Linked DNA regions of Tamandua tetradactyla. The protein of the gene in region 2 interacts with the protein of the main gene of each other region in a biochemical or structural test. Links are inferred from orthologs where the notes say so. Each region holds a gene or a part of one and is shown on either strand. Other genes may lie near its edges.

What was found. The genes of interacting proteins can lie anywhere in the genome.
Region 1: the proteins of HIF1A (region 2) and RACK1 form a complex in vitro, tested with the Homo sapiens proteins (2 studies listed by BioGRID). The link is inferred for Tamandua tetradactyla from reciprocal best matches to the Homo sapiens genes HIF1A and RACK1.
Region 3: the proteins of HIF1A (region 2) and FHL2 form a complex in vitro, tested with the Homo sapiens proteins (2 studies listed by BioGRID). The link is inferred for Tamandua tetradactyla from reciprocal best matches to the Homo sapiens genes HIF1A and FHL2.

The regions. Positions count from the first base shown.
Region 1 is NC_135346.1:3,339,087-3,346,880, forward strand, and holds the start of RACK1 (small ribosomal subunit protein RACK1), read right to left. Parts: upstream 3,037-7,794; 5' UTR 2,921-3,036; coding exon 2,812-2,920; intron 2,623-2,811; exon of another isoform or gene 2,555-2,622; intron 1,958-2,554; coding exon 1,786-1,957; intron 1,595-1,785; exon of another isoform or gene 1,517-1,594; intron 1,372-1,516; coding exon 1,224-1,371; intron 1,017-1,223; coding exon 921-1,016; intron 561-920; coding exon 450-560; intron 246-449; coding exon 105-245; intron 1-104. UniProt on the Homo sapiens protein: Scaffolding protein involved in the recruitment, assembly and/or regulation of a variety of signaling molecules. Interacts with a wide variety of proteins and plays a role in many cellular processes.
Region 2 is NC_135338.1:3,074,057-3,081,398, forward strand, and holds the start of HIF1A (hypoxia-inducible factor 1-alpha), read right to left. Parts: upstream 3,090-7,342; 5' UTR 1,726-3,089; coding exon 1,640-1,725; intron 689-1,639; coding exon of another isoform or gene 686-688; coding exon 495-685; intron 1-494.
Region 3 is NC_135343.1:70,098,399-70,105,729, forward strand, and holds the start of FHL2 (four and a half LIM domains protein 2), read right to left. Parts: upstream 3,037-7,331; 5' UTR 2,072-3,036; coding exon 2,031-2,071; intron 1-2,030. UniProt on the Homo sapiens protein: May function as a molecular transmitter linking various signaling pathways to transcriptional regulation. Negatively regulates the transcriptional repressor E4F1 and may function in cell growth.

The sequences.
Region 1 (7,794 bases), on a different chromosome or scaffold from region 2:
CTCAGCATGTGGTAAGATGGTATATTACCATGTGTGTAACCATCACACTGGCAGGACTTCCAAAGTACAGCCAGGCACTCAGTCTGAACTGTATTCACACTCACCCAGATCTTGATGCTGGGGCCCGTGGCAGCACAGAGCCAGTAGCGGTTGGGGCTGAAGCAGAGGGCATTGATGATATCCCCGCCGTCCAGCGTGTAGAGGTGCTTGCCTTCGTTTAGGTCCCACAGCATGGCCTGGCCATCCTGGAAGACACCACTGGGTCACTGTGACTGTTCCCGGAAATCAACTCCATTTCCCAATGTTTTGTCCTAATCAACTCTTAAGCCCCCCTACCCCCTTTCCCAAGCTTCCTGTAAGCAAACGCCTCAAAGTGTCCCCTGCGAAAGGCATGTTCAGCCTCCCCCACCCCCCACTTTAAGAGTAGGAGGCCCCTGGCTCCTGAATACCTTGCCTCCAGAAGCACAGAGGGATCCATCTGGAGAGACAGTGACAGTGTTCAGGTAGCCCGTGTGGCCAATATGGTTGGTCTTCAGCTTACAGTTAGCCAGGTTCCATACCTAAAAAGAGGGGCAGAGGACCCACAGGTGAGGAAGCCGGCTTGGGGCCTAACATGATACCTTATTTGAAAACATTCCTGGGAGGAATGACCATCATTTATCAGTAAAAAGAGGTTGAAGAATTTCTCTTGGCCACTTAAAGACAACTGGGTTTTAAAACAGTTACTAAATGCTGTGTGGAGTCTTACAAAGGCTCTGGGCTCAAACTACTCCATACTTTTCCCCTCTTGCTATTAATACCAGAAATTTATGGCCGGAATTGGAAAAACAACAGCCAAAGGAAAAAAAGTCAATTAAAGGAACCTACAAAGTATTCAGAGCTGGAGCCCACACCCACCTGTCCCCTGGCCCCAAGCGCACCTTGACCAGCTTGTCCCAGCCGCAGGAAACGATGATGGGGTTGCTGCTGTTGGGCGAGAAGCGGACACAAGACACCCACTCTGAGTGGCTCTCATCCTACAGATGGAAAGGAAGCAAAGGGAAACCATCCCATGACATAAAATTCTAACTGCCCCAGCCTTCCCTCAGCCGTGTGGGGTGGGTGTCGGCAGCCTTATATCCTCCTCCCCAGAACTTTTAGGCTCCTGGCATAAGACAAGGAGAAATGGAAGAGGAGGAGCTCCAACACCTGCACCAGGCTCCCGACCAATGCCTCTGCTTTACCTGGACTGTGTACTTGCAGACTCCCAAAGTGTTCCACAGCTTGATGGTCTTGTCTCGGGAGCCAGAGACAATCTGCCGGTTGTCAGAGGAGAAAGCCACACTCAGCACATCCTTAGTGTGGCCTACAAACCGGCGTGTGGTGGTGCCCCTGGGAGGGAGGACATGGTCACTCTCTAAGCAGAGCCTGCAAACGGTCTCTCCACAGTTTCGTCATGTCCTGTCTCAGTGGTGAATTACCCCCCAATGCCACACACAGTCCCGACCACAAGTCCCTGGCTGAGTCTATGCGAGAGAACCCCCTCAGAATTGCAGGACATGTCCTCATGCCCCATGGGGATAGGTGGACAATGTCGTCTGTCATCACCAGGGTCCTCCATGACCCCTGCCACGTGCCCAACCACACCGAGGTGCCAGGCCAAGATACTCAGACCGCTCCCCAGCAAGACTCAGGTGAGTAACCCCGACATGACCTCCTTTACTCTACCCACTTCTCCCTACCACCTCTACTTCACTTTGCCCAGCTCTTCCCCAAGGCCCCAGGTCTAAGTGAGCAGCTACTTGCGTTGTGAGATCCCAGAGGCGCAGGGTTCCATCCCAGGAGCCTGAGAGGGCAAACTGGCCATCCGAGGAGATGACCACATCACTGACAAAGTGAGAGTGACCCCGCAGAGCACGCTGGGGAATACCATAGTTGGTCTCGTCTCTGGTCAGCTTCCACATGATGATGGTCTTGTCTAGAGAGAAAACCGAAATGGACACTCAGCCGCCTCAATCCTCGCCATCCTGCCGGTCTCCAGCCTCCTCACTGACCTACGGGCTAACCCGGACATCTCAAGGTCACAGAGGGCTCACAAAATGACAAATTAGAGTCAGGTGAGGGGGAAGGGAGTCCGCAAGCCAAGACAAGTTCACTAACCCAGAGTAAGGCCAAGCTGTGCATGAGATTCCGTCAGGTGTACAGAACTCCGAATGCGACGACGGATGTCCTTTTCTGGGACCCGAACCCATTAAGACATTTATCTCCTATCTGGTCTGAGCTCTAACGACTTGTGGACCTTTCTGCAACCGCTGGAAATGCTGCTCGGGCGCTGCCAGCCCGCAGGCTTTCCTGCACGCGCGTGCCCGGCACTAAGGCTCACCACTAAGCACCAGCAGCAGGTCGAGTCCCAGCTGCCTCCTAACCACCTGGGCGCTCTCAGAAGGCACGGGAAGCCCCCGACGCTGCGGGCCCACAGGGAGGGCAAAAGCCAAGGAGGGCCGAGGGGGCAAAGGGCAGGGCGGACGGGCACGAGGCCCCTGTGAGCCCACCCCTCCCTAGCAGGGCCCGGCGGCAGCTCAGAAACAGCCTCTGGGTCTCAGCACGGGCGCTCAGATGGCATGTTGGGATCATCACCGCTCCGCCCGGGCCCCGAGGGACAGGAAATGGGACACCCCCCACCCCCGCCAATGCTCCCGCAGGCCAAGGGCCGAGTCACGTCCCCCTCTGCAAAACGCGGGCGGCGCGCGGAGTTACACCGGACGGAGTGGGGCCCTGGGTCCGCCGCGAGCGAACGCCGTCCCCACCCGGCCCCCGCACCTCAGCTCGTACCTCGCGAAGCTGACAGGATCATGTCCGGGAACTGCGGAGTAGTAGCGATCTGGGTCACCCAGCCGTTGTGGCCCTTCAGGGTGCCACGGAGAGTCATCTGCTCAGTCATGGCGGCGGCGGGTGTCGAGGTCGCCGCAGCGACGAGGATGGCACCGGATGGTCCGGAGAGCCGAGAACCACAACCGAGACAGCCACTGCCCCGCCGTGAAAAAGGAAGAGCACCGCGCCACCGGAACCGGAAATAACCTCCCGCCCGGCCAAAATGGCGGCTCCCGCGAGTCACTTCCGTCAAAGATGGCGGCGCCATTTAGAGCACAGGGCATCATGGTTCCCTCCATAATTTGACAGAGCCGTACAAGTAGTTTCTGAAGCTAACGCGACTAAGGGTTTGAAAGGGCTCCTCTTGTTTCATCCTCTAGGTTTCCTTGTAGTGCCACACATGACCCTAAACATGGGATTGTAAAACACACAGTTGTGGACGATGACTTGATTAATGATATAAATAGAAGAATGTTTTTCCATGAATAAGAAAGTCACTGTTACAAAGAGTTAAGAATAGGGTGGCATAAACGGAAAAAATACACCCGATGCAAATTATGCGCTATAGTTAGCAGTAATTACGATTCTTCCATGAGTTGTGAGAAAGGTACCACACTGAAGCTAAGTGTCAATCATAGGGGTCTCAAAAGGGCATGGATTTTTTTTTCCTTTTTAGCAGTAATGAAAATGCTCCAAAATTGTGTTGACGAACGTACAACTCTGAAAGTATACTGTGAGCCATTGATTGCCCATGTTGGTTAGCTTGTATGGTGTGTGAATAAAACAACTTAAAAAAAAATACATCTCCTAAACTCTGTGAGTAAACTCATTACCCTCTCCTCTATGTGGGGCATGACATCCAGGGGTGAGTCTCCCTGACAAGGTGGGACATGACTCCTAGGGATGAGCCTGGCCCTAGCACATGGGATCAGCAATGCCTTCCTGACCAAAAGGGGGACAAGAAATGTAACAAAATAAAATATCAGTGACTAAGAGTGTTGAAATAGAGTTAAGAGGCTATTCCGAACACTACTCTTATGCAAATTTCTGCTAGATATAGCTAATTGCCATGGTATGCCAAACCCAAACCAAAACCATTCCTGTTTACCCTAAAGAACACCTAGGGCTCTAACTGAGATTACTTTCCAGAAACCTACACCCTCCTGGTTCCTACGCCAGATAAGTCCTGAAATCAGAGAGCCTAGCCTCTCCAGAACATCGACTAGTTCTATCCCCATGTCCCATATTATTGACAGCCTTTTCCAACATGAAAAAGTTAGAATGGGCTTAGCCCAAATACCCTTAAAGACTGGAAGAAAGATCAAAGGAGAAGGAGGAATTATAACAGAGAAGATAGGGTTTAACAAAGGAATATAACTGGTGGTTCCACAGGAGGCTAGGGGTGGGGTTGCCATATGATCCTTCAATGCTATTGCTCAATATATACCTGGAGGAACTGAGTGTGGGTACAGGAATGGACATCGTACCCTGGGGTTCATGGCGGCAGTGTTTGGGATTCACAATGGAGGAGGCCTGTGCTGGTTTGAATCTGTGGTGGACCCCAGAAAAGCCATGTCCTTTAATTCTCATTCAGTATTGCTGGGTGAGAGCGTTTTGATTGTTTCCATGGAGCTGTGACCCTCCCAATTGTGGGTAGTAACTTTTGATTAGATGGCTTCCATGGAGTTGTGACTGTACTTATTCCAGGTGGGTCTTGATTAGTTCATTGGAATCCTTTAAAAAGGAAACATTTTGGAGAGAGTCCCTTTTTTATTTTTATTTATTTTTTAACTTTTTTTATTAATTAAAAAAATTAAACAAAACATTAAGATATCATTCCATTCTACATATACAATCGGTAATTCTTAATATCATCATATAGTTGCATGTTCATCATTTCTTAGAACATTTGCATCGATCTGGAAAAAGAAATAAAAAGACAACAGAAAAAGAAATAAAACGATAACAGAGAAAAAAAATTATACATACCATACCCCTTACCCCTCGCTTTCATTTACCACTAGCATTTCAAACTAAATTTGTTTTAACATTTGTTCCCCCTATTATTTATTTTTATTCCATATGTTCTACTCTTCTGTTGCTATAGTAGCTAAAAGGGGCATCAGACACAAGGTTTTCACATTCACAGAGTCTCATTGTGAAAACTATATCATTGTTCAATCATCATCAAGAAACATGGCTACTGGAACACAGCTCTACATTTTCAGGCAGTTCCCTCCTGCCTCTCCGCTACGTCTTGAACAACAAGGTGATATCTACTTAATGAATAAGAATAACCTCCAGGATAACCTCTCAACTCTGTTTGGAATCTCTCAGCCATTGACACTTAGTCTCATTTCATTCTTCCCCCTTTGGTCGAGAAGGTTCTCTCAATCCCTTGATGTTAATTCTCAGCTTATTCTAGGGTTTTCCCAGTCCCTTGATGCTGAGTCTCAGGTCATTCCAGGATCTCTGTCCCACGTTGCCAGGAAGGTCCACACCTCTGGGAGTCATGTCCCATGCAGAGAGGGGGAGGGTGGTGAGACTGCTCGTCATGTTGGCTGGAGAGAGAGACCACATCTGAGCAACAAAAGAGGCTCTCTTGGGGGTGACTCTTAGGCCTAAATTTTAAGCAGACTTGACCTATCCTTTGTGGGGTTAAGTTTCATATGAACACACCCCAAGACTGGGGGCTCAGCCTATGGCTTTGGTTGTCCACACTGCTTGTGAGAATATCAAGAATTCAACTTGGGGAAGTTGAATTTCTCCCCACTCTCACCATTCCCCGAAGGGGGCTTGCAAATACATTTCCAGTCACTGATCAAATCACTCTGGGATTCATCGGGGCATCACTCTGGACAAACCAACGAAATCTCATGTCCTACCTGAGATTCCAAGTACTTATGACATTCAATCAAACTATCTACACGAGTTATATTAGGAAATGCTCTAGTCGAAATATAAATTTTGTAACAAACATTTTTTGCTTTAGTCTCACACATAAGGTGATATTTTTAAGTATTATCATCTGTTTTCAGCACCCTGCAATAGTGACGTTCCTTTGTTCTTCCTCATGCAAAAACATTTTTAAAATTTGTACATTGTACATTTCACTATTATTATACACTCTAGGCATTCCTAAGATTATATCATCTCGATCTTTAACATCTATCTTTCTTTCTGATTTTATTTATGTCCCCAGCCCTCCTCCCTCTGTCATTCTCACATGCAGCTTCATTCAGTGTTTTAACATAATTACATTACAGTTAGGTAGTATTGTGCTGTCCATTTCTGAGTTTTTATATTCAGTCCTGTTGCACAATCTGTATTCCTTCAGCTCCAATTACCCAATATCTCACCCTATTTCTATCTCCTGATGGTCTCTGTTACCAAGGAAATATTCCAAGTTTATTCACTAATGTCAGTTCATATCAGTGAGACCATACAGTATTTGTCCTTTCGTTTCTGGCTAATCACACTCAGCATAATGTCCTTAAGGTCCATTCATGTTGTTACATACTTCATAACTTTATTTTGTCGTACAGCTGCATAATATTCCATCTTATGTAAATGTCACAGTTTGTTTAGTCAACTGTCTGTTGATGGACATTTTGGCTGTTTCCATCTCTTGGTAATTGTTAATAATTTTGCTATAAATATTGGTGTGTAAATGTCCATTTGTGTCCTTGGCCTTGTGTCCTTTGAGTAGAGACAGCATATAGATGGGTCCTGTTTTTTAATCCATTCTGCCAGAGTGTGTCTTTTGATTGGAGAGTTTAACCATTAATATTCAGTGTTATTACTGCATGGGTAGTACTTTCTTCTACTATTTTGCCTTCTGGATTTTATATGTCATATCTAATTTTCCTTCTTTTTACTTTTACTCATAGTCTTCATTTCTACACTCTTCTCCATGCCTCTCTCTTCTGTCTTCATATCTGTCTCTAGTGTTCCCTTTAGTATTTCTTGCAGAGCTGGTCTCTTGGTCACAAATTCTCTCAGTGGTTTTTTGTCTGAAAATGTTTTAATTTCTCCCTCATTTTTGAAGAACAGTTTTGCTGGATATAGAATTCTTGGTTGGCAGTTTTTATCTTTTAATAATTTAAATATATTATCCCACTGTCTTCTCACCTCCATGGTTTCTGTTGAGAAATCTGTGCATAGTCTTATTGGGCTTCCCTTGAATGTGATGGATTGCTTTTCTCTTGCTGCTTTCAAGATCCTCTCTTTCTCTTTGACCTCTGACATTCTGATTAGTAAATGTCTTGGAATATGTCTATTTGGATCTATTCTCTTTGGGGTACGCTGCCCTTCTTGGATCTGTAATTTTAAGTCTTTCATAAGAGTTGGGAAATTTTCAGTGATAATTTACTCCATTAGTTTTTCTCCTCCTTTTCCCTTCCCTTCTCCTTCTGGGATACCCACAACACATATATTCATGAGCTTCATATTGTCTTTCAATTCCCTGAGTCCCTGATCATATTTTTCCTTTTTTTTTTCCCTATAGTTTCTGTTTCTTGTCGGATTTCAGATGTTCCGTCCTCCAGTTTTGAAATCCTATGTTCTGTCTCTTGAAATCTACCATTGTAGGTTTCCATTGTTTTTTTCATCTCTTCTACTGTGTCTTTCATTCCCATAAGTTCTGTGATTTGTTTTTTCAGACTTTCAGTTTCTTCTTTTTGTTCTTTCCTTGCCTTCTTTATATCCTCCCTCAATTCATTGATTTGGTTTTTGATGAGGTTTTCCATGTCTGTTCGTACATTCTGAATTAATTGTGTCAGTTCCTGTATGTCATTTGAATTGTTGGTTTGTTCCTTTGGCTGGGCCCTTTCTTCAATTTTCCTAGTGTGATTTGTTATTTTTTGCTGGTGTCTAGGCATTTAATTACCTTAATTAGTTTATTCTGGAGATTGCTTTCACTTCTTTTATCTAGGGTTTTCTTGC
Region 2 (7,342 bases):
TGTGTATGTGTGTTTTCTGCCCTTTCCTTTTAGAACAGAACAGTTAAGGCCAGAGGCTAGAAAAACTAATATTAAACCTGCCAACTGCTTTTCAGGATTATTTAAAGTAATGCAACAAGGCAAACCACTGAAAAGAGAAAGGGTCACGTTATTAAAAAGAAAACAGGTAGGTAACTGAGACTGAAGAAAATGAAAAAGAAAAAAGCTAGTAGTTTAAAAATTCCTGAATGAAGCTTTAAAGACAGGTAATAAAAAATATATCATATTAAAGAAGAACTAAGAGTGTTTTTAAGGGAATAGAGCAAAACTTACAATATAAAGAGATTATTTCTAACTATACTGATTAGAAAAGCAAACTTCATAAAATACGATTATTGAAAAATTTTTCAAGTATGTTATAACATAATGGGGTATACAAAAAACAAAATATTTTGACAACTTCTAAACAATTTCTAGTTCTAATTTTCAGCCTATTAAATTCTTAAAAAACTCACCAGCATCCAGAAGTTTCCTCACACGCAAATAACTGATGGTGAGCCTCATCACAGAAGCCTTATCAAGATGCGAGCTCACATTATGGGGAAGAGGCAACTGATGAGCAAGCTCATAAAAAACTTCCGACTCTTTACTTCGCCGAGATCTGGCTGCATCTCTAGATTTTTCTTTTCTGCGTTCAGAACTAATCCTACTTAACCAAAAAAGAAGAGAAAAGTTGAAAGGGAAAGTTTATGTAAGTTAGTTTGGCTTAGTTTGAATAAAACTTTTTATATTCTTCTGTTACCATAGCTGGATTAGAAGATGCCATGTAACTAGAGACTTGTCTACCAGATGAATGTTCTTTTACACAGCTATACAAATGTTTGAAGTACTGCAGACATAAGGAACTCACACAAGAAGTTCATGATCAAGCTTTAAATCTTTTCAAGCAGATGTTACCTCCCTGACATGTCAAATTGTAGAGGAAGTTTTTATTTTAGTCAAAAACTGTACCTTCATAGCCACTGATAAGCAGTTTCAAAATACAGAACCCCGAGTAAGTCTAGAGGAACAATCTACAGTTGTACATAATGACTTGAACACAAGAGTTGCTAAGCATATCAGTTACAGCAACAAACTGATCTGCTCAGTTTCTTGACTCCCACACACCCTCTACACTACCACAAGAACAATACTCACTATAAGCTACAGGAATTTTTATTAACAGTTATAATAAACTACTGTTTTCAGGTTGTCTACTAAGCAGCAGCACCTTATCTATTACTGGCACAACAGTCTACCAAGTAAATACAGGTATACGAAAGGAAGGGGAAAAGGTTGTGGCATGATACTTAGATTCTTCCTTAACAGGAACTGTTGATTAGAACCTACTACGTGCCTAGCTCTATAGGTTAAATATTATCCCTCTTTTACATATGAGCAAATTGGGGCTCATCTGGAATTTATTTGGCATTCGCACAGTCACATACCAGAAGGGATTTGAACCCAGGCCTTTTTAACTCCAAAGTCTTTCCTCTTCCTCCACTATGCTTATCTTAATGGAAAACATTTCTTCAATCTCAAATACTCAGCTGCTCTCCTGTGACCCCTCAACTCAATCCCATTATTTAAGCCAATTTATTAAATTGAAAGCAGCCGGTACCATTTACTAAGCACGTAACAGTATGTTAAGGACTCTGCCTGCATAATTTCACTTAATTCTCCTCCCATCCTATGAATGAAGTACATAATTGGTCTCCACCTCAAGTCTCTCCTCCCTCCAGATGATCTTTTGCAAAGCTACCAAGGTTCAATCGTAGGAACGACACACTCGAATAAACAGGCAGGCTTTCAGTGTATGCTCATGTTATCTTATATTACAACAAGTAAATACCTAATGGTTGTATTGTGACACTAATCACAATATAATCTTAGCATTTATTCTTTGTGTGCTTATATTTTTATACTTTTATAAGGAATGTGAACACTTGTTACATATTGTTAATAACACTGATGTAAAAATTTCAGTTTAAGTATCTAGATCAGTTTAACTTGAGTATCTTGCGATTTAAGGTGTGCTATAAAACCATTACCATTTGTAACTACTTATATATGTGAATCATGATTTTCTCAATGATGTACAATTTAAAAAACTACAGATAAATTAGATGCCTATGCTACTATGAAAGCACAAGAATGTCAACAATCTGTAATAATATTTTAATGTGCATTAGAATTGCCCCATCGATTGACTTTAAGTAAATATTTTAAATTTGAACTTTAAAGTGTATAATAATAAAATAGAGCTTTTATCTATCTTAGGCATAAATAAGGATTCTGCACAATATTCAATGGGGGAAGAGAAGAGTGGTTTCTGTTGCTAGAAAGAGTTTGAAAAGTCCCCAGACCATGCGATCTAAAATGGACAATCTCTTCACTTTGGGGCATTCACCCTGGGTTTTGAGCCAGCAGTCTATTTTTGGCCCTAGTGGATGCTGTTGCTATTTTATCCCCACCTCCTCCCAGTCATGGGTGATAAGCAATAGTGGCTGTGGCAAACAGATTCCTATGTAGTTCAAGCAAAACCACCAAAAAAGAATGGTGATCAATGACTGATGATAAACCTGAATATTAGGTTCAAATGCCACAATTAATTCAGGTGTTAAGAATATTATCAGCAAAAAAATAAAAATAAAAAAGAATGTTATCAGCCACTTTAATCACATTTATTACCCCCTCTTTTTCTGAACAACACAACCAATCTTCCACAAATGATTACCCAAATGAAATACTTGGAGAAAAAATTGTATCTTTATATTACTTGCCATGTTTTTAAAGGATATCTGATTAAGCTAACCATGGTGGTAGAAAATCTCCATACCTTCTGAAATACTTGCCTTCTCCAGAACCTTAAAGATAGCAATGATTGCCCTATTAGAGAAATGATGTTGCATAAAACATCAAAGGACAATATATAAGTCAGGGCAGACTATGAGAACAAGCATCTGAGTGTAAACATGAATTCTGGAAGTAAAATAAACCTCAAGAAACAAGTAATCTGATATTTCAAGAGTCGATAAACCTAAATTAGACGTAGAAGGTGATGAAAATCATTATGTTCATTATTACATAAACAATCTTTAGATTACAGCATTCAAAGAACATGTAATAAAGGTTTAATAAAGAACTTTTATCTAATAATCTCCACATGTGTACTATGTACAAGGTGGTATTCTAAACATTTCTAAGCTTAAAACTTAGCATCCAAAGTTCTTAGGAGTTTTTACATCTGAACAGTCCAGTTTATCACTCTTGCTCCCACAGAAGTACATAAGTTACTTCTATTAGACCATGGGTTACAGCACCCATAGAGAAGAATTCTGTGCTATTTGCTTACTTACTACTACTTAGATGGAACAAACGTTGTGTGGACCAGAAGGAAACAAGCAGATTTTCAGCATGCAAATAAGGCCACTGTATTACTCTAAATTATCAATTGCATCTATGTTGTTTTTAAGTACAAATCTACCGAAATTGTCTGCATAGGTGCTATTTCACAGTGTACTAGAGGGCAAATCAGCTAAGAATATACACAAAATCTTTCTTTTTTATTTCATTGTCCAGGAATTGAACCTGGGTCTCCCACATGCAAGGCAAGCATTCTACCACTGAACCACCCATGCACCCCAAATTCTCTTTTGAATAGTTTGCTTAACCATTTCTATGACTGTTTCAGAACTGAATCTTTGTGGTGCTGCAGTTTTCACATATTTATTTTTTTTTTATTATTTAACATATAGTACTTGTGGTGGGGTTTGGAGGTATGCACACCAGAAAAACATGTTCGTAAACTTAATCCATTCCAGTGAGTGTGAACCCATTCTAAGTAGGACCTTTTGATGAGGTTATCATGGGAAGCAAGAAACTGAAAGTCAGTGGAACCCAGAAGAGAAGGAAGAGGCCAGGAGAGGCCACCACGTGCACTGCTAATGTGACAAAGGATCACCAGCAGCCAGCCCCAGAATGTAGTCTTTGGAAAGAAAGCATCACCTTGATGATACATGCCTTTATTTAGCCTTCTCTTATTTAGCCTCAAAACCAGGAGTCAATAAATCCCACTATTTGCTTTAGCAACAAGGAAACTAAAACAGCACTATAGCAAGAAAGTAACAATTACATCTTGAAATTACTTTGTATAGGAAAAACTATTTTGAGCCACTGTCTTATTAAGCATCTTGTATGCAAAGTTCATAAGCAGTAGTCATTTTACAGAGAATGTATACTATTCTTTTATAGCTAAACAAGAACACAAAATAATTGCAGACATTTCAAGTCATTGTGGTCTACTTATGATATACAGAAAGCTTGACAGCATTCCTGATTGTAAATCTCTGACTTTATTCATCCTGATTGTAAATCTCTGACTTTATTCAAAATGTTAGCAGGAAAAAAATGCTAGCAGATGACTGGATGTATTTCTGATCAATTAAGGCATAATTTTTTTTTTAAATCCCTCAATTCTCTTTATTTAGAGGAAAAAAACTTTCTGGCTTTGAAGGTACAATTTTTTTTTTCACTGTGTCAGTATTTCTACAGGATAAATGCTGTGAAGTGAAATGCTTGATTCAAAAATTATGCCATTTAGCTCTCCAAAAAGGTTTGTACCTACTTGTGTCTCTGCAAATCCATGAACATGTACATCCATTTTCCTATGCACTCAGCAGATTATAGATCATGGACCTTTTTTTCTTTTAAAATTTTTTACCAAGCTGATAGGTGAAAATTATATCTTGTTGTTAAACAGTACTGGTTAGCCTCAGGCCTGAAGAAAATCCAAGGAAATTTTCAAGTTCACTCTTTAATAGGCATTTTGCTTAAAGCTTTAAATGCAAAGACTTCTACTTGTTGCTTGCTATGTACAAGGTAGTATTCTAAACATTTTCATGTTAACTTAATCCTTAAAATAGCCCTGTGATGTAAATACTGTTATCATTATGTTATATATGTTATTCAAGGTTAGAGTTAATAAATGGTGTTCAGAACCTTTATTCTAATTTAAGCAGTTTGGCACCAAAGACCTCATGCTATTAACACTACACTATGCTGTCTCCCAGAAACCCATTCTAATTCCCAAGATAAGTATTCATAAGTCTTGCTCTTTATTATGAAGTTTAAAATTTGTCACTTCACATTTCCAAGGACATAAAGAAGTTATAGGTGTTGGCTGTGGAATTTAGGATTTGATGGACTCGTGGCCATGCTCTTTCCTGGAATCTCCTTGTAAATCCGAAGTCCTAATTGACAGGTACCTGTAATAGCCATGTTCTCTGTTCTGCTGTCCAGCATCTCTTCAAAGAAAGGCAATGTTTAATGGGTATTGCCAACCACTGTGGGGAGAGGATAAGAGGATGGCAATTCAATCTACCTCTCATACTCCCATTAAACTTTATTTTAAATTTGTACAGAGCAGCCATCTGAACATTTTAATTCAGTCTTGTTTGTTTCATTTGCTCAACAGCTGTATGGTAATCACAGCAACATCCTGGTTTTGATTATACTCACTTTTATAAAGTTTTTCTAACTTGTATTAGAAAATTAGTGAATAAAAGCTGAAGCATTTTATTTTATATTAAAAATGTTCTAGAGCTATTCCTAGAACTAATGTACATAATATGACAGCACATTATCCTTGGGCGAGGTGATTTTTGAGATTGTTTTATAAGCAGGAAGGGCAGGCCTGGTCCTATCCTACAGAATTTGGTGATAGTGGCATAACACTGAAAGGTAATCCCTCAAGATCTAAAAACCTAAATAATTTCTTCACATATTATAAGCCATTTGTCATATTAGATGTTAATTTTTTCTGGAATCTGTTTTCTCTTTTATCTTGCACAAGTTAAAAATATTGATAGTCAAATTAATCTTTTCCATTGATATGTCTTCTAATATTCTTCCAAAGATCTGAAAAATATCTTATTCTACTTCTGTCTAGTTCATTAAACCACCTGGAGTTTATTTTGGTGAAATGTAAGGTTGGAATCTAAATTTTTTTTTCCCTCAACAGTTACCTAAAAGCTTTAAAAATATAATCCTTTTTTTCCACTGCTTTTTAATTTCTTATTTTAGCATAGTAAATCTTCACCATTTTGGATATTTCTAAACAGCTTTGTTCAATTATTTTATGAATTATTATTTTTTTACATATGTTCCACAGATAAGATAATATTTAAAATACCAGTAGGCCAACTGTTAATTGCCACTCTTCTTTTACTGGATATTCTTTGTATGGTGAGGATCCCAAAAGTAAAATCAATCTGCATACCTACTCAGGAGATCTGCCTAGTCATAAGCCAATTGCCAAGATTCCTCACCTCATAAAACATCATGAGAGAAAATAGACTATTGTCCCTCTAACATTTATTGGGTGCTCTGTGCTAAGGACTAGTAATATAATCATAAACAAAACAAACTACTGAAATAGTCACTAATGCTATATTTCTAAATGCTGGTTTAGCTGCACCATAATTGTCAACACATCAAAATCTTGGGGCCTACCTATCTAAATTCTGATTCTGTAAAGCTGAGGCAAGGCCCAGAAATCTGGGTTTTAAAAACTTTCTGAGAGGTGTATGATACATAGACAAGGTTGAGAACCACTGACTGAAATGAGTCTTCAAATTATCACCACAATGGTCTTTCCAAAATATGTATCTCATATTATGTCCTGCTTAAAACGCGTACAGGTCAAAGACTAATTACTTTTAAAGGAAGTTCCCTACTCATCTCTTCATCTTCATTTGCCACACCCCCATTCACATTCTTCAGTCACATGACAATCACTCAAAAGGAGTGTTTCATTCATCTCTGACTTGCTAACCCCAATATTTTGGTAAATTGTCATACAAAACTTTAAAAACTCAACTCAATCATTGCTATCTATACCTCTGCTTTTTCTTTTCCAAAACTGTTTCTCTTTCCTAGAACTGACCACTCTGGTTGCTCTGCTATTATTTATCTTCCTCAACAATGTCTGAAAGCTTCTTGGGGGCAGGAAACTGCCTGATTCATCTTTGGATTCTTAGTAGGGATGTGCAGAAGTTTGAATATGGAGTTAGTATTCTGCCCAGATATGCTACTTAACTTTGATTCTGGCATATGGAATGCTGACTCCTCTTCAATTGTTTTTGGGATCCCTAAATTTGTACTTTATCAGTTCTCCTGTGATTCTGTAGGGTACAATCTCAACTAACCAGCATTAACAGTATAAGACGAACAAGTTATACACCATTTGGATTTACCGCGATTATCTGCATATTCACTTTCAAAAATAAGTAAGCAAACTTTATCTCCCCTTTTCCACCTTTGC
Region 3 (7,331 bases), on a different chromosome or scaffold from region 2:
AATTTGAAACTACATCAGTACATTTTTATGTCCAGTTACATTAAAACACATTTGGTCTACCTTGAACTTTAAATTGTGCATTATTTAAATTGTGCATTATTTTGTAATATTTAGAAACTACTCATTGTGTAGATTTATGAAATGTGAACACATTTAATTACACAACGTCAAAAAATCACAACTCAACAACGAAAAAGACAAACAACCCAATTAAAAAATGAGTAAAAGACTGAATAGACATTTCTCCAAAGTAGATAAACAAATGGCCCAAAAACACAGGAAAAGAGGCTCCACATCATTAGTTATTAGATAAATGCAAATCAAAACCACTATGAGACGCCGTTTGTCACCCACTAGAATGGCTGCTATTAAAAAAAGAAAAAAAGAACAAGTATCGGAGAGGATGTGGAGAAACAGGAAGACTTGCTCATTGTTTGTGGGACTATAAAGTGGTGCAGTCACTATGGAAAACAGTCTGCTGGTTCCTCAGAAAGTTAGGTGTAGAATTACCATATGTCCTAGCAATCCCGTTCCTACATATATACCCCAAATAATTAAAGTAGGGACTTGAACAGGCATTTGCACACCAAAGTTCACAGTGGCACTATTCACAATTACCAAAAGATGGAAGCAACCTTAGTATCCATCAACAGATGAATGGATGAACAAAATGTGGTCTATACATATAATGGAATATTATTTGGCCATGAAAAGGAACAAAGGTCTGATACATGTGACAACACAGATGGACCTTGAAGTCACCATGTTGGGTCAAATAAGCCAGCCACAAAAAGACACATATTATTTGATCTCACTGATATGAATTAATCAGAATAAACAAATTCATAGAGTTAGAAAGTAGAATACAGTTTGCAGGGACTGTGGTGGGGGTAGATAAAGGGGAATTCCTGCTTAACTGGTACAGAATTTCTGTTTGAGGTGATGGAAAAGTTTTGGCAATGGATAACGGTGGCAGCTGTGCAGCATTGTGAATGTATTAGCACCACAGAATTATATATTTAAATGTGCAAATAAGTTACCAGAACAACGCTTTAAAAAAAAACATAGAACTGTACACAGTGAACCCTAATGTAAATTATGGACTATTTTTACTAGAACATTTATAATAATATCCTTTCATCAATTGTGAAAAAGGTGCCACAGTAATGCAAGGGGTTATAGGGTATATGGGAACTCTGTGTTTTCTGCATGATTTTTCTGTAAACCTGCAACTTCTCTTATTAAAAAAAAATCACAATCTTTACTATCTCCACCCATCTTCTCAGAAAAACCTAGAAGTATTGGGAAGATCACTGTGACTGATCTAAGTTTTCCAAAATGCTAATTTTCATCTCAAAGCTCAAATTTTATCTTTGGCAACATATACTTTCAGTTGTTTTCCTTAAATTGACAGGCTGACTCTGTTCATTTTTGAGAAAATATCTGCAACCAAAATCTGAATAATCATAGCTTGTCAATTGTTCTTTCCGGTAAAAACAGAAAAAGCATCTAGTTCAATTCATGCTCACACATGGACTTGTACTCAAGATGACCTTGGTGCTTTGATATGCGCAGAAGTGCTTCATGCATCTTCTCTTTGGTCACTCAAAATATTTAAAAGATGCATGTTCAAGGGTCCAGATTTAATAAAATTAGTAAGTTTTACCACTTCATTAAGGTCAGTTTCTTAAATGAAACTGGATTTTTGTTTTTCTTGCTAGTGCTTGGGGTGGGGAATGTTATGGCTTCTAATCGAGTTTGCTGCCACTGCTTTCATTCTAGCTAAGGCACAAGCAGTTTTTCCCACCACTGCTTTTATGTCTATAATAAATGTGAATACAGTGAAATAGTCCAGTAAGAGCTTACTATCCTTAATAAAATAGATCTGACCTCACACAACCCTAGAATGAGATTCAGGGATTCCTAGGGACCCAAGGACCACAATTGGAGAACCACTGGATTAAACCACATGTACGCTGGAGGAGGTTATATTTTGTTGTAATAGAAGTATGGTGGATTGAATTACGAACCCCAACGTAGACATGTTCTTAATCCTCATCCATATTTCCATGGGTGTGAGCCCATTGTAGATAGGAACTCTTGAAGGTGCTCTTTTCAGTTAAGGGTCTGGCCCGACTGAATGAGGTGGGGTCTTCTTTCTTAGATCTGGCTTTAGAAAGAGAAGCACTAGAAGTTGAGAGTTGGCGAAAGCTACTGGAAGAAAATCTGAGGAGCAGGAAGCCAGAAGTCAGTGGAAACCAGAGGAGCCCACCCAAGGGAGCTCAGCCCACTGTGGGAGGCAGAGAAGCAAGCCGAGGAGCCCCAAATATTACAGCAAGCTGACTCTAGGCCACGACAGGTTTTGGTGAGAGAGCATTGCCCTGCCTATGCCTTGATTTGGGACTTCCAGCCTCAAAACTGTGAGTCAATAAATTCCTGTTGTTAAGCCATCCCATTGTGTGCTATTTGTCATAGCAGCCCAGCAAGCAGTGCGGGTGGGATATTTAATTCTGAGGGTAAGTGGGAAAGAGCGATACTCATGGTTTGTGTAGCTAGTGCCCCAAGCCTACTCTCATTGATGACTCAGGGTCTCTTAAGTGGCTGTGGAAGCCTGCTGGAGGCTCAGCAGGAGATGTTCCTGGATGAGTGAGCAGAATCCTTGGCCTCCAGGGCTGACAGATGTGGTTGACATGGCAGTGGCCACCAGACCAAAGTCCAGGACTGCAGGGAGACCTCCTCCCAAGAGACACCGCTTACCTCCTTCTTGTTGCAAATGAGCCACAGAGACCAATGGGGTTAAATGACAACCACCCCAACAAACCAAAAGAGCAATTTAATCCCATGAGTAGGTCGCAGCTTCAGCTGTCAAGAGAATAAGTCTATAAAACCAGGTACCACTATCTAAACACTCTAGTCAAATAAAGCGAACAACTTCAGTTCTGCACTTGACATTTGTATGGAAATAATTACAGATGAGGTTGGTACAGACAGATTGTGCTCTGTTCCTCCTTTAAGGCCTTATGTCTAGAAAGTATCTTTTTGTATAGTAATTTGGTATAGATGAATATGGGTATTTCATTTCTTTTGTTTAATATACACCAGTCTATAAAGTATGCTTTCCTGTGTTCAGAAAGGCAGACACACAGATCCGTAGAAGACCACACAGCTTGGCCTCACCCAGCAACAGAAGGTGGGTGAGAGGTGAGTGTCCATTGGGGTGAGTTAGAGGCCCCAAGAGGAGAGGTGACTGGAGAACTCAGTTGCCTGTTCCTGAGACATGAGGCACTGGACACCCCTAGTAAGACTAATGAGGTGGAAATTATTCACAATGGTCTAAATAGCAACAAGAGGAAGAATCTGACACATGAGCAGGTGAGGGGGGTGGCTGAGGAGGAAGTTGAAGGGTGAGGGTGAGGAGAAAAGGGGGCGCAGCCCAGCTCCCAGGGCTCCAAGCACTCATGGTGGCCCACATCCCCATGGTCTACATGGGTCAGCTCCCAGGGGGAAGGAGAGTCACGCTTAGACTCCATCCCATCTGGGCCTCTCTTGAGAAACAAAATCTCAAGAGGGAATAAGATGAAAAATTCCTTACCCCATGTCCACAACTTGCCAGTGGCCTCAAAGCATGGCCAGCTCCCCGAGGGGCACCTGGGACAGGGTCCTTGCAAATGTGATTTGTCTAGTGACTCAGGGCTTTGCTCATTTGGGGCCCTGGGCCAAGAGGGCTCGAGGAGGCCAGAGGTCGGAATGCTGGGTCTCCTGCTGTTGGCTGTTGGGTGACGTTCCAACCACCGTACAGAGAGCCCGAGGTGAAGAAAGTAAACTCTATTCTTGGGGGTAGTGGGACATCTCCCTCCCCTCCTAATTGCCCCATTCTCAGTTCTGCAGCAACCCCGTCTTGTGTCGTGGAATCTCCCCAGCTCGAGGCAGAGCATGGGGCAGAGATCACAAAGCCTATCCCCGCCGGAGAAAAAGAAGAAAATAGTTTCTTCCATTTACTAGGAAAGCTGTTTCTGTCTTCTCACCATGCTAGTTCTATATTTATACGAGCATTCAATCGTGCCTTCTTGTTCCGTTGTTTTTTTGTCCCATCAGCACTTTGCCTCCTGCGGCTTTCTGTAGTTGTGAGTAGCAGCAAGTCAGGGGGACAGCCTTGGGGATGCATCAGGGGAGCCGCACCCCCCGCACCCCACCCCACACCTGCCAGCCCCCCCACCCAATGCCTTGCCCAGCAGAGCTCTGGGTCGGGATGCTGATCCGAAGGGAAAAGCAATAGTAAGAAACAGCTGTTTGAGGGCTTAAAGCCTTGCTGATTTGTGCATAGTCGTGACTTTAGGTTTTTAAGAGGTTGGTTCCACGAGTGAGGACGACTAGCAGCCCGAACCCCGCGAGCTGGGACCAACACAGCGTCCCCAGGTGCAGGCACCTGCCCACCGGGGCCCCAGGTGAGGGCGGCCCAGACCACCCCGGCAACGGGCACGTCCCGGCTCAGGCAGATGGGAAGCTACTTTGGAACCAAAATTGTGGTGGCCAGACGGGTACATGTTCCTTTTTGATCTACATTTTCCCTATGGTTTAATTTACTTTTTCATTACGGCATTATAGGGCTCGATGAGAGTCATCTGCAAAGCAAAACACTAGCAGCTTAGAAATAGCAGGACCACCGCTTTCGTGTGTCAGGCCTGCTGTCACGGGTCCCGCGGGCTGGCTGGCTTCCACAATGGGAGCTGATGGTCTCTCGCTTTTCAAAGGCTGGGTGCCAGCAGACCATGCTTTTTCTGAAGCCTATGGTGTCCTGCAGGGGCCACCATCACACGGCCATCGTCTCCTTCGGGCTCCTTATGTGGCTTTACTTCTGTGCCCGAATTTCCTTTGCTTATAGGGACTCGAGTCATGGAGGAATAAGGTCCATCCCCTTTCACTTCAGCCTCGTCTTAATAGGAACTTTGGAGATTCCGTTCACAAAAGGTTTCACATACACAGGACCAGGGGTTAGGACTCATGTCTTTGCGGGGAACATGATTCAATCTAAAACAAATACGAAAATAAATTTTCCTGCTCATTTTTTGGCCTGACACATATGACTTCTCTTTGAAAGCAAAATGCCATAGATGAAAGAAATCTCTATGGAATTAAATCCTAACTGCCACCAAATTACAACTTTAGGTTGATTTTTGGATCTTCTTTATTATTATTATTATTATTTTTACTCATTGACTGAGAAAGGCTTGATCTGGGTTATGCTGAGGGCTGCTTTGGTAAAGATACCTAAATGATCACAGAATGACTCTTTTTCATTCTAACTTTTTTTATCCAACAGACACTGTGTCCCTCGGATAAAGATGAAGCCAGAGTATAGCTCAACGGTCCGTGTCAACACCAGTTTTCTCTCCTGCTTCTTGCCTTTCAGTGCCGCCCAGATGCCGAGGGGAAACCACAAGGTCCATTTGTAGGATGATTAAGGCTCAGAACCGGTTGAGGGTGTTTTACGGGGTCTGACTTACACGGGGCATCAAGCCGCACATCCCGGCTCAGCTCCTCCCTTCCCCTCTCTGCGCTTTGCCGCAGAGGAATGAAGAATCTTCCGCATTTTGCCACAGAAGAGAGGCAGTCGGCGATACCTGGACAGCATGAAATTCCACGGAGCAAAAATGTCTCCGACGCAGGCAAAGTGCAGCTTTGGAAAAGGCTGGAAGCTGTGGCTCAACTTTCATGGTTGCTTGGGAGAAATTTGATTTCAAAAGCGTGTTTCATAAACCTGAACATGCCCTTTCCAAGTATAATTGTCTGCATTTTAGAGAAGAGACAGAAGTGCAAAGAAATGACTTGCTCGGGACCTCAGTGGACAGAGTTTTACTCCTAACAGCATGTTTAGCCGTTAGAGAGACAGTGCTGGCTGTTTTCACACGACATTGTCAGACAAGGGCCCCCCCATTTCCGTGGTAGGAGAGTGTTTATCTTTATGTCTTACCTTTTTGATTATGAGGTATTTGCTTTCTCTTCTGCATTCTAAAGGCCACACCATTTTATCATCACAGGCTGTCTTTCAGTAGAGGATGCCTTGTTTGACCATTTGAATTTATCAAAGCGCTCTGGGGTCTCGGAAAAATAGGTTCTCTTCTCGTGTAAGGAAGAGGGAAGCTTTCTGAAAAGAAACGTGCTTTCTTTTCTAGTCACTTCCTATCATCATTCTGTAACCGAGAAATCGGGGTTTAAGGGATGGTTTTGATTACTGAATCATTCTATAGATATTCCTTTTTACTTTTTGGTATATAGGAGTAGATAGTGGGAAATCCTTGAAATCTCTAAATTGTAATCCAGCTGCCTTGATCTCTGATAATGACTGCATAGCCCTTATCTTCTGCCCCTGTGATTGTAAAAACCTTGTGACTAGCCTTCATTTGTACCCAGTTATCCAGTTTTTCAACTTTAGAGTCTTGTAACTGCTAAAGACAGCTCCTAATATTTATTAATAAAGGGTCTTGGGTCAGCCCGGAACTAACCCACCCCAAGTCCAAAGTTATCTTGATAACGGAGACTGGATCTAATCAAAGTGGGCCCATCTGACATGCGCAGTAGCTTAGACTTTAACCTACAACTCACCTAGACTTCATTTTACCATTTACTGACACATGTTCAGTAACTAAGCATGTAGTCAAACCGCGCACGCTCAGATATCAGATCCCCTCTAATTACATCATCAGGGGTCTCTGAGCTCATCACCCTAAACTCGGTTCATCTTTTCTCTAGCAAAACGATCAAAATTACTGCATTTTGGGGAGACAGATTTGGGGCCTCTAAGCCATCTGCTCACCTACTACGTGCCTCGTAATAAACTCTTTCTCTCTTTGAAACCCTGGGGTCTCAGGAAGTGGTTATTGAGCTCATCGGACAAAAGAATCCATGGCCTTTGTCCCGTCACTATCCTGGGCTCCACCAGAGAAAAATCAATGTTCATTTTGGCTGTATAAAATTAATTCCATCTAAGTTACCTTCATCAAAAGACAAAGTTCCATAATTTGAGTCAAAAGTAACCCAAACCAGAATGAAAAACACATGGCGGAGAATGGAAACAGCATGACTATTAGCGAAACGCCCTTTGCAGTTTGCTTTCCCTCTCCTTCCAGGCTTCTGCTCCACACCAGGGACCCCCTCCCTCCTTTCCCCCGCTAGTCCTGTAGTCCTTTGAGCTGGGGGCGGGGGGGTTGCTGGTTCCCCACCGCTCTTCCCGCGACCACCTTCTGTCAAGTGGCGGGAAGAGGCTGCAAGGCCCCTGGATGCGACAGAGACCCAGAAACCATGGAGAAGTGGCCAGGCCCTCGGGCTGCAAT